Saccharomyces cerevisiae S288C: one gene and its partners. The gene in region 1 interacts genetically with each later gene. Each region holds a gene or a part of one and is shown in the gene's direction. Other genes may lie near its edges.

What was found. Genes that interact genetically often act in the same process or in processes that back each other up.
Region 2: mutations in YBP2 (region 1) and FSF1 together harm fitness more than expected from each alone (negative genetic interaction), as found in Saccharomyces cerevisiae (2 studies listed by BioGRID).
Region 3: mutations in YBP2 (region 1) and AIT1 together harm fitness less than expected from each alone (positive genetic interaction), as found in Saccharomyces cerevisiae (2 studies listed by BioGRID).

Annotation. Positions count from the first base shown.
Region 1 is NC_001139.9:386,010-393,772, forward strand, and holds YBP2 (Ybp2p), read left to right. Parts: upstream 1-4,055; coding exon 4,056-5,981; downstream 5,982-7,763. Other genes in the region: PYC1 (pyruvate carboxylase 1), read left to right, coding at 1-2,723; DUO1 (Duo1p), read right to left, coding at 2,959-3,702; protein kinase PKP2, read left to right, coding at 6,214-7,689. UniProt on the Saccharomyces cerevisiae protein: Involved in oxidative stress response and redox homeostasis. Required for hydrogen peroxide-induced activation of YAP1. Acts in a parallele pathway to YBP1.
Region 2 is NC_001147.6:830,559-835,922, reverse strand, and holds FSF1 (Fsf1p), read left to right. Parts: upstream 1-3,880; coding exon 3,881-4,864; downstream 4,865-5,364. Other genes in the region: TPO4 (Tpo4p), read left to right, coding at 1-1,471; YTM1 (Ytm1p), read right to left, coding at 1,728-3,110; VPH1 (H(+)-transporting V0 sector ATPase subunit a), read left to right, coding at 5,349-5,364. UniProt on the Saccharomyces cerevisiae protein: Mitochondrial amino-acid transporter that mediates transport of serine into mitochondria.
Region 3 is NC_001136.10:132,226-138,039, forward strand, and holds AIT1 (Ait1p), read left to right. Parts: upstream 1-3,670; coding exon 3,671-5,314; downstream 5,315-5,814. Other genes in the region: homocitrate synthase LYS20, read left to right, coding at 1,212-2,498; INH1 (ATPase inhibitor), read left to right, coding at 2,954-3,211.

The DNA of each region.
Region 1 (7,763 bases):
GTGACGCCATTTTGACAGATGCAGTTAAATTGGCCAAAGAGTGTGGCTACAGAAATGCGGGTACTGCTGAATTCTTGGTTGATAACCAAAATAGACACTATTTCATTGAAATTAATCCAAGAATCCAAGTGGAACATACCATCACAGAAGAAATTACCGGTATAGATATTGTGGCGGCTCAGATCCAAATTGCGGCAGGTGCCTCTCTACCCCAGCTGGGCCTATTCCAGGACAAAATTACGACTCGTGGCTTTGCCATTCAGTGCCGTATTACCACGGAAGACCCTGCTAAGAACTTCCAACCAGATACCGGTAGAATAGAAGTGTACCGTTCTGCAGGTGGTAATGGTGTTAGACTGGATGGTGGTAACGCCTATGCAGGAACAATAATCTCACCTCATTACGACTCAATGCTGGTCAAATGCTCATGCTCCGGTTCCACCTACGAAATCGTTCGTAGAAAAATGATTCGTGCATTAATCGAGTTCAGAATTAGAGGTGTCAAGACCAACATTCCCTTCCTATTGACTCTTTTGACCAATCCAGTATTTATTGAGGGTACATACTGGACGACTTTTATTGACGACACCCCACAACTGTTCCAAATGGTTTCATCACAAAACAGAGCCCAAAAACTTTTACATTACCTCGCCGACGTGGCAGTCAATGGTTCATCTATCAAGGGTCAAATTGGCTTGCCAAAATTAAAATCAAATCCAAGTGTCCCCCATTTGCACGATGCTCAGGGCAATGTCATCAACGTTACAAAGTCTGCACCACCATCCGGATGGAGGCAAGTGCTACTAGAAAAGGGGCCAGCTGAATTTGCCAGACAAGTTAGACAGTTCAATGGTACTTTATTGATGGACACCACCTGGAGAGACGCTCATCAATCTCTACTTGCAACAAGAGTCAGAACCCACGATTTGGCTACAATCGCTCCAACAACCGCACATGCCCTTGCAGGTCGTTTCGCCTTAGAATGTTGGGGTGGTGCCACATTCGATGTTGCAATGAGATTTTTGCATGAGGATCCATGGGAACGTTTGAGAAAATTAAGATCTCTGGTGCCTAATATTCCATTCCAAATGTTATTGCGTGGTGCCAATGGTGTGGCTTATTCTTCATTGCCTGACAATGCTATTGACCATTTCGTCAAGCAAGCCAAGGATAATGGTGTTGATATATTTAGAGTCTTTGATGCCTTAAATGACTTGGAACAATTGAAGGTCGGTGTAGATGCTGTGAAGAAGGCAGGTGGTGTTGTAGAAGCCACTGTTTGTTTCTCTGGGGATATGCTTCAGCCAGGCAAGAAATACAATTTGGATTACTACTTGGAAATTGCTGAAAAAATTGTCCAAATGGGCACTCATATCCTGGGTATCAAAGATATGGCAGGTACCATGAAGCCAGCAGCTGCCAAACTACTGATTGGATCTTTGAGGGCTAAGTACCCTGATCTCCCAATACATGTTCACACTCACGATTCTGCAGGTACTGCTGTTGCATCAATGACTGCGTGTGCTCTGGCGGGCGCCGATGTCGTTGATGTTGCCATCAACTCAATGTCTGGTTTAACTTCACAACCATCAATCAATGCTCTGTTGGCTTCATTAGAAGGTAATATTGACACTGGTATTAACGTTGAGCATGTCCGTGAACTAGATGCATATTGGGCAGAGATGAGATTGTTATACTCTTGTTTCGAGGCTGACTTGAAGGGCCCAGATCCAGAAGTTTATCAACATGAAATCCCAGGTGGTCAATTGACAAACTTGTTGTTTCAAGCCCAACAATTGGGTCTTGGAGAACAATGGGCCGAAACAAAAAGAGCTTACAGAGAAGCCAATTATTTATTGGGTGATATTGTCAAAGTTACCCCAACTTCGAAGGTCGTTGGTGATCTGGCACAATTTATGGTCTCCAATAAATTAACTTCCGATGATGTGAGACGCCTGGCTAATTCTTTGGATTTCCCTGACTCTGTTATGGATTTCTTCGAAGGCTTAATCGGCCAACCATATGGTGGGTTCCCAGAACCATTTAGATCAGACGTTTTAAGGAACAAGAGAAGAAAGTTGACTTGTCGTCCAGGCCTGGAACTAGAGCCATTTGATCTCGAAAAAATTAGAGAAGACTTGCAGAATAGATTTGGTGATGTTGATGAGTGCGACGTTGCTTCTTATAACATGTACCCAAGAGTTTATGAAGACTTCCAAAAGATGAGAGAAACGTATGGTGATTTATCTGTATTGCCAACAAGAAGCTTTTTGTCTCCACTAGAGACTGACGAAGAAATTGAAGTTGTAATCGAACAAGGTAAAACGCTAATTATCAAGCTACAGGCTGTGGGTGATTTGAACAAAAAGACCGGTGAAAGAGAAGTTTACTTTGATTTGAATGGTGAAATGAGAAAAATTCGTGTTGCTGACAGATCACAAAAAGTGGAAACTGTTACTAAATCCAAAGCAGACATGCATGATCCATTACACATTGGTGCACCAATGGCAGGTGTCATTGTTGAAGTTAAAGTTCATAAAGGATCACTAATAAAGAAGGGCCAACCTGTAGCCGTATTAAGCGCCATGAAAATGGAAATGATTATATCTTCTCCATCCGATGGACAAGTTAAAGAAGTGTTTGTCTCTGATGGTGAAAATGTGGACTCTTCTGATTTATTAGTTCTATTAGAAGACCAAGTTCCTGTTGAAACTAAGGCATGAACCGGTTAGTTCTCATTTATAATGTATAATATACCCGAATCTTATTTATTTACCTTTCCTATTTTTTGACGACCAGTAAATACTAATACATAATTAGGAACAAAAGTTAAATAAAAAAAAAAATAATAATTTAACGCATCCAATTAACGTGTCCTTTTTTCATCATTAATTTATCTACTATTTCGATTTAAATTCCATATACAATAAATCCTAGATACATTCCCGAAAGCATCTTTTAGCGAAACATCTTCCTTGAGCTGCTAGCAGTGGGCTTAGTCCACCTGTTAGTTACTCTTGGTATACCACTAGGTCTTTTCGAGGCAGGAACATGGGTCTTTCTTACTCTTCCGTTATTTGAAATTCCTGCCGAAGGAACGGGCCTTCTACCAGATTGCACACCGTACCTTGGATTTAAGCCTTGATTTGGTGGCTTTGCTGGTGCAGCATCCTTTTCACCCTTCCTATTTTCTAATTTTTGTCTCAAATCCAAGATCTCCTTCTTTTTCAACGCTATCACGTTGTGTAAAGTACTCCCATCTTCATCATTTGTGTTTACATTTTCATTGTGCAGTCTATCATTAATTAGCTTTAAATAGGTTTGATCGCTCATCAATTTATGAATATAACCAGCTTGAGAATGAATGTTGATCCATGAATCTAAAATGGAATTCGTAGATTTACATACCTCATGTACTTGATTAACGTATACTGGCAAGTTATTTTTTAATGCGGCCGTAACATTTTTTATCATTGCTGTTATTTTATCTAACGATTCTGATTCTTTGAGTAAGGATTGCGTTGTGATTGAATTAAACGATCTTATAGAATTGCTGTTAGCCGAAATATTATCGCTTGCTCCACCTCCTGTGCTTTTTGGAAATTTATTGGTCGTGTTATTGAGGTTAGATCTCATCTCATTGAAAATCTGTGGAATCAGTTTGTCTATAGTCGAATCATCTAATTGGCTTTGCTCACTCATATTGAAGACTTGTTCAAGTTTCAAATTATCTTCTTTAGTAATACTTGAGTCACCAGTCCAGATTACTTAGCCTATCTTTCTTTATCGCGTTTGATTTTGGCGTTTGTTTGTAATTATTATTCTTTTTTCCTTCGTTTCGCTGTGAAACTAACTTGCGCTGAGGTCCAAAAACCTCTCATCTAAGAATAAAGGAAAATACATATTATCCTGGGTCTAAAAGGCTAAAAGAACTCACCGTCAAGAGGAAGGGCTCAGAAAGTATGGGTGAGTCAATTGAAACAATTTGTAAAAGCCTTGTCAGGGCTTTCCAAGAGGAGAAGGATGATTTTGTCTCACTTGTAACAATCATTGATATGTACAACGAGCAGGTGAACTCTGGAAAGTCTATAAAAGAAAAGGAACGTTATTTGGATGCCCTATTGAAAATACTTAAGGATAATCCAGTTACCTTAAAGGAAATTGGCTGGGATCTGCCAAAGGGTTTATTGCAGTTTTTCTCACGCAAAAACATCAATGTCAATATACATCTAGTTTTTAGTCCCCTTGTTTCTAGTGTGATGGAATGCTTCAATGAGCTAGCCATCAATGGAAATCCGAAAGAATGCTTGTTGACCGCTTGCGAATTGGTGTCAACACTCCATATAGTCTTAACTGAAACTGGCGACTCCGATGAAGAGAATGAAGATTTAAATGACTCCAATAGAAATGATGCGTCAAACATTACTGATGAGCTGTCAGTTATCACTCCGGAGATTGGGCACTATATGGCCAAAAATACAGTAGAATTCATTCCAAATTTGAAAATTTACGTTCTCTTTGAATTTATGAGTTTATTGTTGAAACGTGTGGACACTTTATATCCATCTAAATTTCTAGCCATGGTAACTTCTGCAATTATTAAGTATGTAACAACCAACGTTCAGGCTATGGATGATCCACACTTTATTTTGCGCATAGTGTACAATTTTTGTACTAATTACTCTCCAGCTCAACCATCTGCTAGTCTGACCGATGGTATTAGTACAAACGATCTTGAAAAAATTCATGATGATGAATCTGCCTTACAGAAAAAACTACTGGCTAATCTGAGCGTATTCGTGATTAGCAACTGCCTAAAAAATCATCCAGGTAATATTGACAAGATATATTTCAAAACATTGATGCATAAAAAAACAGATGAAAATGAAATCGATGCTTCAGTTTTACAGATATGCCACCAATACTACGAGTATGTCACATCATTGGATGTCCACATGAAAGAACTTTTAGAAAAGTGCCTGGTAGAATCAAGAAGCATCTATAACTCTCTTCTCATGAACCCGGCCGCTTCCACGCCCGAATTCAAAGAAGAAATTAACCAACTAGTATATGAGGTATCTTACGCATATCAAATCAAGAAACTAGCTGACGAAAAGAACTTAGAGCTGGACCAATATGGAGTTGTGATTCTATCTGCAATACATTATTCTAAAAATGGTACTCACTTATTGCCGCAAATTGATATCCAAAGCGCAATTTACCTCTATCTACGGTGTACGACAGCTTCTTTATTTTCAGAAATATACGAAAATAAGTTTTTGGAAAGTTCAGTACGCTACTGGCTATGGGTATCCACAACCGAGACTTCCACAGAGAAAATAAAGTGTGCCTTACAAGAACTTCCAGGGCACATTACCACGGCCTTTTTGCAGATGTTACTGATGAAAACTTGCAATGAATCTAATAACGACACTAAGTTGACCGAAATTACTCTTCTGAGGAGGTTACTCTATCTCATGCCCGAAAGCACATCTTTTACGTTCATCTTTGAAACTCTACTACATTGTCCATATATAACTGCAAAGATTGCTGTTCTTGACATTCTAAGAGATATGATGATTAGATCTCCTGAGGCTGCTAATCGTGACGAAACTGTCGGTTTAATCGAACAACAGAATCCTGGGAATACCGCTAATAGTGTACCGATAATGCCAACTCTACCTCCAAGACCTTACATCACTATTAATGAAGATCGCATGGCTTCCATTCATAGCATTGCTTTAATATGTTTTTCTGCCGCCAAGCAAAAGAAAAGAACGCAAGGTGATTTACTCTTGGTACTAACATATATGAAATTTTTTGTTAGTTTAAGGAACAAATGGGATTTGGGTCTGTTAACACTCATCAATAAAGAAATCTCCGAATCATTTCAAGGAGAAGGTGAGCCTGAATTAGCATTCATCAACATTTCCAATAATACTCTGGGAGAATATATAGAAGAGATGAACATACGCTCGTAAACTACATAGTAAATTAGTTGCTCTTCTCTTTTGTTCCCGAGTAAATCGAATTATTCTATTAAAGGGAAACACTATGTTTTGAGTCATCCAAACTTTCATTTTTTTCAGATTTCATCGCCCGATCGTCAAGGAATAAAAAGGGAAGGGATGGGATACTTGCATTGGAACCCAGAAAGTACGTAAAAGATGAAGATCGTGAGAGATTGGTCAATGGATAAATAGTTCTGTAATTATGTCTAAGTATCAAATTAATTGCATAAGATACCGGCACTTTCTCAGGACATCTAATATCTCGCAGATCCCTGATTTCACGAAATACTGCATTGGTCCCGTAAATGAAGAATTGGCACCTTACATCATGGAAACCATGAAGGCATACCCTTCAAATTCCGAATATATCAATCCGCAGCATTACTATCATAATAGAACGGTATTAGTAGAAAATTACTTAAAACGAAGTCCAAATCCAGTATCATTAACGCAGTTAGCGCAATATTATGACGATTCTACCAAGCTGACCAGAACCAAGATCATCAATTCCGGGAAATTTGTAAAAGAAGAACTGGTAATTAGGATCGCGCATAAATTAAATCAATTGCAACAACTTCCATTTAATGTTGTGAACAACTTCCATTTTGTTCAAGTTTATGAGTCATATTACAATATTTTTGAAAGCTTTAGAAAATATCCGACTATAAGAACTTTAGAGGACGCTTCTCAATTTGCAGATTTTATCAAAAATATGCTAGAAGGCTTCAATACTCTAAACTTACCACATTTGATAATGGGGGCTTTAGAATGTACAATTTTGGATCTTTATCCTCGTGAAAAAATGGACCAACTACTATCTGATCTGTTAAGAGCTCGAATATCAAGAAGATTGATTGTAGAGGAACACGTCAGTATCACAGCCAACTACACTAGTGGTAAGGAGGAAAATACCTTGGTATTGGGTGATATTTTTCAAGAATGTAGCGCTAAAAAATATTTATTGGAAGCCAGTGAGGAATCTCAAAAATTTATCCAAGATATGTACTTTAAAGACATTCCCATGCCAGAATTTATTATCGAAGGTGACACTCAACTAAGCTTTTACTTTTTGCCTACACATTTGAAGTATTTGTTAGGGGAGATCCTTCGAAATACTTACGAAGCAACCATGAAACACTATATTCGTAAGGGATTAGAAAAGCCGGAACCAATCATAGTAACTGTAGTAAGTAACGATGAATCCTATTTGTTTAGAATTTCAGATAAAGCTGGGGGCGTCCTCCATGATGATGAAAATCTATGGTCATTCGGTAAATCGAAAGAAAGGGCTCAAGAATCCCTAAATAATTTTCACAAGTTACCTGGTTTACAAACAGTATCTATTTATGACGAAGTACATTCCCATACTAAATATAACTCCAAACTGAAGTCATTGCAGTCAATAACATTAAAACCGTACATGCACACGTCGCTAGAACCAATGAGTTATCCTAGCATCATAAATGGGCACATCAAATATGAAACTCCCCTAATTGAATTGTTAAAGCGGTCTTTTAGATACAAGCTTGGGATTGGGTTAGCCATGTGTAAAGTGTATGCTGAATATTGGAACGGCGACCTTTCATTGCATTCAATGCCTGGATATGGTACCGATGTTGTATTAAAATTAGGCAACTTGATGAAGCATACGAAGAAACTACAATTAGATAAAGTGTGAGCTAACCATGCTTACACTATATACCAAGGAACAAATACATATTCGGAATATTAGTATGGTGACTACATTTCCCG
Region 2 (5,364 bases), on another chromosome or scaffold:
CATGGGTGTTGGGTTATCCAATGGCCACATGAGAATAATTCTACCCCTAAGGTTTTTATCAGGTGTCTTTGCATCCCCCGCCTTATCCGTTGGATCAGGTACCATCCTGGATATCTTTGACGTGGACCAGGTCTCCGTCGCAATGACATACTTTGTTCTATCTCCATTCTTAGGGCCAGTTTTATCTCCTATTATGGCAGGATTTGCTACTGAAGCCAAAGGCTGGCGTTGGTCTGAATGGATCCAATTGATTGCGGGCGGTCTAATCTTGCCATTTATTGCGCTCATGCCAGAGACCCATAAAGGTATTATTTTAAGAAAGCGTGCCAAGAAGAGAAATATAGCCTTGAAGAAGTTCAGCAGGGAAGCTCAGAAAGAATTTTTAAAAACCACTGTCACTATTACAATCTTAAGGCCTTTAAAAATGCTTGTCGTTGAACCTATTGTATTTGTTTTCAGTGTTTATGTCGCTTTCATATTCGCCATTTTATTTGGATTTTTCGAAGCATACGCTGTCATTTATCGTGGTGTTTACCACATGTCTATGGGGATATCTGGCTTGCCATTTATTGGTATTGGTGTCGGGTTATGGATAGGTGCTTTCTTTTACCTTTACATCGACAGAAAATATCTCTTCCCTAAACCACCAGCTGGCACTCAACCACTCACCGAAAAAGAGAGAACTTCTAAAAGGACTACCCCTTACAGAGGTGCAAGAGACGCTGAAACAGGTGAATTGCTACCCGTTGTTCCAGAAAAATTTTTAATTGCCTGTAAATTTGGTTCTGTAGCTTTGCCTATCGGCCTGTTTTGGCAAGCCTGGACTGCTAGATCAGATGTCCACTGGATGGCTCCTGTGGCTGCCGGTGTGCCATTTGGTTTTGGTTTAATTTTGATTTTTTTCAGCGTTTTAATGTACTTCTCTACATGCTATCCGCCATTAACTGTGGCATCCTGTTTGGCTGCCAATAATCTATTAAGATACGTTATGAGTAGTGTATTCCCATTGTTTACCATCCAAATGTACACAAAGATGAAAATCAAATGGGCAAGCACTTTATTTGCATTAGTTTGCGTTGTGATGATTCCAATTCCATGGGTTTTTGAAAAATGGGGGAGCAAATTAAGACACAAGTCACAATTTGGTTATGCCGCCATGGAAAAGGAGGCTGAGACCGAAGGTGGTATAGATGACGTAAATGCTGTCGATGGTGAATTGAATCTAACAAGGATGACCACGTTAAGGACCATGGAAACAGACCCTTCGACTAGAGAAAAACCAGGTGAAAGGCTATCTCTGCGCAGGACCCATACGCAGCCCGTTCCTGCCTCGTTTGATCGCGAGGACGGGCAACATGCGCAAAATCGTAATGAACCCATTTCCAATAGTTTATACTCAGCTATCAAGGATAATGAAGACGGTTATTCGTATACGGAAATGGCCACCGATGCTTCCGCCAGAATGGTTTGAAAAGGTCTTAAGACAGATCACAATTGCATATATTCAAATAGTAAATTGGGGGATAGCTGGATAAAATTCACCAATTTAAATTTATAGAAGTTTCATACAAGTACACATTATCATAGAAGTATTTTTTTTTTTAGCAAGTAATGTCGTTTTACATAAAGAAGAAGGTGACAGAAATTTGCGAAAGCTGTTGGCAAAACCAAATTTATTTCAAGTATATCAGTACATTATTCTACATAAAAACAACAACAGTTTTTTCTCAGTTTTTGAAAATGTTGTCTCCTTTATTTATTTGAATCTTTTTGTCTTGACCAGCGCTGATAATACCCACTTTTTCAGCCCATTTGACAGCAAAAACTTTGTCATTGACGCCCTTTTGGACCGATTTGTCTTCTCTTGTTATGGTGTACATCGGAGAAGTAGACCTGACGTCCCATACCTTCACGGTACCATCGTGAGAACCCGAGCATAATATATACTCATTCTCGGGACAAGTGTCCAGAGAGGAAACGAAGTTCTTATGACCAATTAGTTGTTGCTGAGTAACTTTGGAAGACGCTCCCACACGTGGGTCATGCAATGTGATGTGTCTGGCGCTGGACCCACATGCTAACAAGTTCAAAGTCGACAATTGAGCAATGGAAAGCAACGAGTACGATGTTGTTCTTGTATCTATACATCTCGCGGTGACCAAATCCCATGTCTTGATGGTATGATCTTGTGATACTGAATAACCAACGGTATTATCTGTAGAATCGAAGATCACTTGCTCAACAGGAGCTGTATGGGATTCTAACAGAGACAGAGGGGCACGTCTTCTAATGGTACCATCTTTCATTGTCAATTTTCTCCTTTTTCTAGCAGCAGTGGATATTTTATTGTTTGGATTGTTTATATCTTCTAATGGATCAACAACTGTCATTTCCTTATAAATAGTAGACCAGAACCCAATAGAATTGTCGTATGATGCAGATAATATTCTTGAGTTGTCTGAAACATCAATAGAGACTACTGGTGCCTTATGACCTTCCAAGATAGCCAGTGTCTTACCGTCCTCTATGTTTACTTCGTCATCATCGTCTTCCTGTGCCTGTTGTTGTGAAGTTAATTTCAAATCATCGTTTTTGGTTTTCCATAATCTCAAAGTACGGTCGTTACCAGCCGAAACTAGCCTTGTATTGGAAATGTATTTTACTGCACGGATTGGGCCAGAATGACCACTGTACTGCTTTTGCACATTACCTGATAAATCCCAGGTGCGAACTATACCATCGTAAGAACCACTAATAATATGCTTGGAACCGTCGCCGACATCCAATGAGCTAACCCAGTCCTCATTGCTGAAACTATTCAAATAGGATGGTGGAAGAATTGCCCTGGTATATTCTACATTCAGCGAGGCTTCGCTCGATAAACCTTTCTTGGTCAAATAGTCGTGCAATGAAGTACGTAACAATTCACCTTCAATCAAGAAATCGAAAGGAACAGGCTTTTCCGAGCCCAACAAGTGATTGACAATTTCGGACAACCCATATCTCTTTAATGAGATGGGGGCGTACATTGGAGTATCTTGTACATGTAGTAATTCATCTTTCTCACGCGTGAAAAACCTGATTTTAACCTGCGATTTATCTTCTGTCATATTGAATTTGTGCAGTTTCCCTTGGTATTGTCTTTAAAACTTTAGGTAACGTATTGGTTCTGCGAACATAGAATATGTCTTTTTGCAATTATACAGATGAGCATATGCCTTTCACTGCTCCTACGGTTTGCGATGAGATGAGCACTTCAGAAAATTTTTGAAAAATTTTTGAAGTACTGGCCGGGTAACAGAAAACTGTCAAACCCTCTTGTGCAAGAAATAAGCTAAAGTTCTCCCTAAGAATAAAATAGTAAAGGAAGCTATTGCTACAGATAAATATAAATGAATGAAAGATATCTCACTCGCGCAGCTACCGATCTGGGCCAATGGGAGACACTAAAAGAAGCACCTGTGAGAAGCGCCCAGAACAGTATGAGGACGCTCATGAGTGTGGGAGTTGCTCTAGCTCTTCTTTTCCCCTCTGATCACCTACGGATGTAAGATGGCACAGTGAATAGAAGGCATGTTTAATATGTATCATGCCTTCTTCGGAACCGAAAATCAAAGATAACTAAAAAATGAAAGAAGAGTAATACTAGAAAAATGATCGCTGCCTCGGCGCTTTTTATACCAATGGTGCCCGAGACGAACGAAAAGTTTTTCTTTCGTACTGGCGTCCGGTACCGGAGCGTACCAGATTGAGGTAATTGGATAAGAGACTGTTAGGTCTTCGCATCAGCTTTACAGTTTTCAAAGGCGTCGACCACTGCAAGTTAGCAATAATAAAACCACACAGCATCGAAAGAAAAAAATAAACAAGGCAGAGAAATATGGCATCATCAGTCCCAGGGCCCATCGATTTGCCCGAATCCCGCTATGACTTATCCACGTATTGGGGTAGAATCCGCCATTGCGCAGAGATTTCCGACCCCACTATGTTGTTAACTACTGAGAAGGACCTGGCGCATGCTAGAGAAATCATCAGTGCGTATCGTCACGGTGAACTAAAAGAGACTACTCCGGAGTTCTGGCGAGCCAAGAAACAACTGGACTCCACCGTGCATCCGGACACAGGGAAGACAGTTCTTTTGCCCTTCCGTATGTCTTCCAACGTGCTATCAAACCTAGTCGTTACTGTAGGTATGCTGACGCCTGGTTTGGGTACGGCAGGGACTGTATTTTGGCAATGGGCAAATCAATCGCTAAACGTCGCCGTTAATTCCGCTAACGCAAACAAATCTCATCCTATGTCCACGTCCCAATTGCTCACCAATTACGCTGCCGCTGTAACTGCGTCGTGTGGTGTTGCGTTAGGTCTAAATAACCTAGTTCCCAGGTTGAAAAACATTTCTCCACATTCAAAGTTGATCTTGGGCCGTTTGGTGCCATTTGCCGCCGTGGTCAGTGCCGGTATTGTCAACGTCTTCCTAATGAGAGGCAACGAAATTAGAAAGGGTATTTCTGTGTTTGACTCTAACGGTGACGAAGTCGGAAAGTCCAAGAAGGCTGCCTTCATGGCAGTTGGTGAAACTGCATTAAGTAGAGTGATTAACGCCACTCCAACTATGGTCATCCCACCTTTGATTTTGGTTAGACTACAACGCGGTGTCCTCAAAGGTAAGTCTCTCGGTGTGCAAACTTTGGCCAATTTGGGGTTGATCTCAGTCACAATGTTCTCAGCTTTGCCATTTGCACTCGGTATCTTCCCTCAAAGACAAGCAATCCATTTAAATAAACTAGAACCTGAACTACATGGCAAGAAGGATAAGGATGGGAAGCCAATTGAAAAGGTCTATTTTAACAGAGGTATTTAGAAGTGAAGAGACAAATTTATATAGTTATAGAATAAATATCAGATAGATAAGAAAAAAAAATTAGTTAAACATTAATATATATATATGTGTAGTGACTGACATACGTATGACTGCTAGTAATCCAGTTGCCGAGCTATTGTTGCAGATTGAAATGTCATCACGTGGACATTATATCATCATTAACGACTAATGCGTCAAAAAAAAAATGGGCTAAAAAAAAAAAAAGCAAAAAAAAGAAACTCAGATAAGTCGATATGGAAAACCTTTTTTCTTGAGTGCAACCCTTTTAGAGGTTACAAAACAACAAAAGTCCAAATAAGTCCATAGCTTTTGCCTCTCAATATATCTATACTTGCTTAGAGGGCTACCTGTGTGTATTTGCTAGCTTTTACCTTTCTCTATACAACAAGTGAGGGTTTGAACTTTTAAATCCCTTTTAATTTGAATCAAAAAAAAAACATTTAAAGGTTACACAAGGAAAATAATGGCAGAGAAGGAGG
Region 3 (5,814 bases), on another chromosome or scaffold:
GGATTATCACGACGTTTTATGGGCTCTAAATCGGTATAAGCTCAACAAATGGTTGAGGGCCGAATAAACGAAAAATTATTAGACCATAATTGCTACCAGCTGAAAGATTATCTCATTATAATACGCTTGAAACCCTCTAAAATGTCATTCGTAGTTAAGTACACTTTTTTGATCTCTCCAAGGTTAGCCGCCCATATAAAAAACTCTAGGAACCAAATTTGGTATACTGCGTGCGCTTGAGATTCAGTTTTTGTGTAAATCGGTTGCTGCAAACTATTTATATTAATGTTACATCGATGCAAGATTTTAGCCATGTTCCTAGTTTCTTGTCTATGAGCGTTTACTCAACCGAGACTCTTGTTTGCTATTATCTCGATTCGACGAACAAACAGTTCCCTGGGTATTCGAACAAAGCACAGTTGGTGATTTTGTTTGAAACTACAGACGTGCTCTCTTTTACAAAATAAATTGTAGGAAGTGATCCGCACAGGCAGAGGGAATTACAGATCACGCTCCTCTCTTATGACTAATGCACTCAGCATTTTCTCTTCCTTATAAACTCCGTCCACAGTACCCGATCAGCTGGCTCATCGTTATTCTAAATTAACTGATGACTGATGTTACGTCTGCGTCAAATTCCGCCGGAATATTGCGTAGTTTTAGTAAGAAAAAAACAAATTCCGACGGGAACTCTCTGCAAGGAAGTTTAAGCGTGGGTTACTTTGCTAGGTTGAGAAAAAGAATTCTTTAGAGGATCACACGTAGTAAAAGAAAAAAAAGATCTCTTCGCGCCACTCCCGGTTTCTCTGTGGATACGGCGTTACTAGCGTTGCAAGTGGCAAAAAAATGAGTAATGTCACAATGGCCTGGCCTTGTCCCACTATCCCTTATTCATGGTTGAAAAATATGACCAAAATTGCTGGGGAATTTTCTCTTCGGTAGTGGACGACGACGACATTAGAGCAATAGGCAATAATTTAATTTGCGCTTTAGGTTCTTGCTGACGATGATGCGTGAGTAATATTATTACCAAGTTTTAAGGGCCTCATCGCTGGCCATTTTTTACACCTGCTTAAATACCCGATGATGATATATATAAATGATATTGGCTGCTTATCGATAAAGTGTATTTGATATGTTCCCGTTTAGTTTATTCTTGTTTCTTATCTACATAACAAACAAAGGAAGGACCCTGTATTGTTTTCCTAAAGATGACTGCTGCTAAACCAAATCCATATGCTGCCAAACCGGGCGACTATCTTTCTAATGTAAATAATTTCCAGTTAATCGATTCGACGCTGAGAGAAGGTGAACAATTTGCCAACGCATTCTTCGATACTGAAAAAAAGATCGAAATTGCTAGAGCCTTGGACGATTTCGGTGTGGACTACATCGAGTTAACCTCACCAGTAGCATCTGAACAATCAAGAAAGGACTGTGAAGCTATATGTAAACTAGGTTTAAAGGCCAAGATCCTTACACACATTCGTTGTCATATGGATGACGCCAAAGTCGCCGTAGAGACTGGTGTCGACGGTGTCGATGTCGTTATCGGCACCTCCAAATTTTTAAGACAATATTCCCACGGTAAGGATATGAACTACATCGCCAAGAGTGCTGTTGAAGTCATTGAATTTGTCAAATCCAAAGGTATTGAAATCAGATTTTCCTCTGAAGATTCCTTCAGAAGTGATCTCGTTGATCTTTTGAACATTTATAAAACCGTTGACAAGATCGGTGTAAATAGAGTCGGTATTGCCGACACAGTTGGATGTGCCAACCCAAGACAAGTATATGAACTGATCAGAACTTTGAAGAGTGTTGTTTCATGTGACATCGAATGCCATTTCCACAACGATACTGGTTGTGCCATTGCAAACGCCTACACTGCTTTGGAAGGTGGTGCCAGATTGATTGACGTCAGTGTACTGGGTATTGGTGAAAGAAACGGTATCACTCCTCTAGGTGGGCTCATGGCAAGAATGATTGTTGCCGCACCAGACTATGTCAAGTCCAAATACAAGTTGCACAAGATCAGAGACATTGAAAACCTGGTCGCTGATGCTGTGGAAGTTAACATTCCATTCAACAACCCTATCACCGGGTTCTGTGCATTCACACATAAAGCAGGTATCCATGCCAAGGCCATTTTGGCTAACCCATCTACCTACGAAATCTTGGACCCTCACGATTTCGGTATGAAGAGGTATATCCACTTCGCCAACAGACTAACTGGCTGGAACGCCATCAAAGCCAGAGTCGACCAGTTGAACTTGAACTTGACGGATGACCAAATCAAGGAAGTTACTGCTAAGATTAAGAAGCTGGGTGATGTCAGATCGCTGAATATCGATGATGTTGACTCTATCATCAAGAACTTCCACGCAGAGGTCAGCACTCCTCAAGTACTATCTGCAAAAAAGAACAAGAAGAATGACAGCGATGTACCGGAACTGGCCACCATCCCCGCCGCCAAGCGGACTAAGCCATCCGCCTAACGTTCCCAAACCATTACATTATGTTCTTTCACTTATTACATACGATATATAGCATCTACATCTACATATCTAAATGATGTTTTTTCCCATCTACTTTGTCCGATACGCATTAAAAGAAGAAGATTTACTCTCCCGTGATGCCGGGCCAATCAGACGCGCGCATTCGCGGCAGAATAAGGGGAGGCTGCTGCGGGTACCAAATATCCAGATATTCACAATTATGCCAATCAACTGTCTAGTTGCTGACACCCATCGTTTTCCACTGCAACGAGGTTTTGGGGCTAGAAAAGGCGTTAACAATCGTTAGAGAAGGAGGGGTTCATAACTTGACTTGTTGTATCTTGTTTAAAACTTTCTTTGAATTTGTTCGTGGTTGAATTTGTTTTTGCTATCCCAAAGGAGTGCATTTTACACGCATTACTACAGCACACTTTTATACAGTTCCACAATAGAATATGTTACCACGTTCAGCATTAGCACGCTCATTGCAATTACAGCGCGGTGTGGCCGCAAGGTTCTACTCTGAAGGTTCTACCGGCACCCCAAGAGGGTCAGGCTCAGAGGATTCGTTTGTTAAAAGGGAAAGGGCCACGGAAGACTTCTTCGTTAGGCAGCGTGAGAAGGAGCAACTACGCCATTTGAAAGAACAACTGGAAAAACAACGAAAGAAGATTGATTCTTTGGAAAATAAAATTGACTCGATGACCAAATAATCATGCGTTTCCGCAGAAGCTTTTTTTTTTTTTTTTTTAGAATATTCTTACTCTTTTATAGTCAAACAGCAGAAAAACTATATAATAATACATCACACTGAGCTTTTGCATTTTCGATAACTATCATTCTAGTTTTCCTCTGGTTTGAATTTTCCTCTTGTCTGTCTGACTAATGTCACTCATTATTTCCACTTCGCGCAAAGTTCGTCCCAATGCGGAAAGGCATAGAAAGATAGGAACAGTGTGGAACATGGAAAAGTTCCAAATAACGTCAATAGTCCATACTTAAGATACGAAATTTCAAAATTCCTTCTTTTTTGTTTCAACAAGCTTAGCCTAACACCAAGAATATACTTAGCATCTCTTCGCATTCAAAATTTCTCTTCCATTCTTTGACGTTTTAAATCATACCTCGTATTCTTTACACAAAAGAAAGATACCTGTGAAATATATCTGAATATGGTCCGATTAAATCATGCAGCATCATATTTTATGCCTATTTTCTGCTCCACAAGGCCTCACATAGTGATACTTTCTGCGCTGTTTAGTATTTCACTGTTTTCACTATTCTATGCGTCGTCCGAATTACTGCTACACCAGTATGATGATCCATTGATGTTCAAACCAAATTCGCAGGACTATTTCAGGACCTTTCTTTTGGGGCTTTTTTCACCATTTCTTTATTATTTCCTGAAGACCTTTCTATTCAATATAAATCAAAGGTTTTTAATATTGAACCTGATAGTGGATTTTCCTATCAACGACGTCTTTATGCTTTTGATACTGATTGGTTTAGCGTACCCTCAGGTGCAAGATCACGAAGGCGGTACGATCAAGCATAAGGAATGTTCTTGGCACATCATTCCAAGACAAGCCTATATCTTTGGTATATCATGGGCCCTGGGTGAATTCACCATATGCATAATAGGGAATTTGTTTAACTACCAAGAAATCGCCGATCCAAACATTAATAGTGGCTTCACACACCAGGAAAGCGCCAACACTTACTGTAACAATAATGATATGAGCCATAACGATGACTGCGGTTGTAGTACAGAATATCGCCCCAACGTCGTAGACAGAAGTGATATTACGTTGTCCAAATGTATTGAAGTAAGAAATGACTCATCTTCCATATCGAATAACGTATACTCGTCTGAGTACCATCCAATCAAACCTCTACGTTCATCGTCATCAACTTATGGCAGCATACGACAGCAACCTCATGAAAATAAGAAGCAGCTGCATGTACCAGATAATTCGCAGGACGATACAATTATCATGATGAACCCCATCGACAATTCATTAAAGTTGACAACTCTAGATACGGGTGATTTGAGTTTCCCCATAGACGAAGAACAGCCCATTTTGAAGAAATCTTTTGGTTATACATGGGCAGTTCCTAATGAAAATACACAAAATACTACTAAAAGCTTCACACCGATAAAGAGATTTATTGCATTTAGCACGGCATACCAGTTGGTCACCGGTTTATTGTTAATGATATTGGTAGTTGGTAGTAATATCATGTTGACAATTGGGGAATCATTGATTCTGTCGATGTATTTCGTCTATGTTCGCGGCCATGAAGGATTATTTACTCCCGTGGTGAACTACTTCGGCTCAAGAACCATTTCAAATTTCATCTTATGCGTAATAATTCCTTTCATATCTCTAAACTTCCTCATCAACACTTCGATATATTTAAGAAGAGAGCTAGACGATTGGTTTAATAATTCACAGGGGGAGTTTGAGGACGACGACGAAAATACTATCAGTAAGAGAGTAGCTACAAATCAAGAGTACCAACATCCACTGAGTGCTAATTACATTTCGATGGATAGTCCTGATGTAATAAATAGCAGCCCGGGTCACTTCGGGATGAATTCAGGCCAGTTGTTAGGTAATACGACGTTATATTATGGTAGTTTAAATGGGGATGATGATGATATGACCAACGACTCCGCTTTACTAAGATTCTGCAAGAAGCTAGTCAAAAATTGGAGGGCTTTGGCAAGAAATGATTCTTTTGTACTTGGAGTAATGGTTTCTTGGAGTCTTCTTGTTTTTGTAACGGGAATACTTTCAACAGTTTATATATAGCATATAAGTAACGACCGTGCACATATTAGGGTGTTCATATCTTGAAAAATCTTTATGTTATCCATTTTACTTTAGGGGAGGTGGAGCTTAATAATAAAATTTACATAAGAACAACAATCTGTAAGTAATTATAAAAATATATTAAAGGGACATTTTAACCCTACTTTAAAAGTTTAACTACATCAGTGGTTCATCAATCAAAGGTTATGCAAGGTAGAAATTTGTCCAAAAGAAAATAGATCATGCATCATTCAATATGGAGCTCACACTGTATGCTACAATTTGGCCTCCATTCATAACTGCCAAGATAAAATTTGTTGGCAATATGGAGCTCACACTGTATGCTACAATTTGGCCTCCATTCATAACTGCCAAGATAAAATTTGTTGGCAATATTGAAAATTCTTAAATTAGCGCTGCGCGGAAACCAGCGTCACTAATTTTTTTTTTTATTGCTGCACTAAAAAAAAACCAGCTCAAGTAGATAATCTTACAAGGGA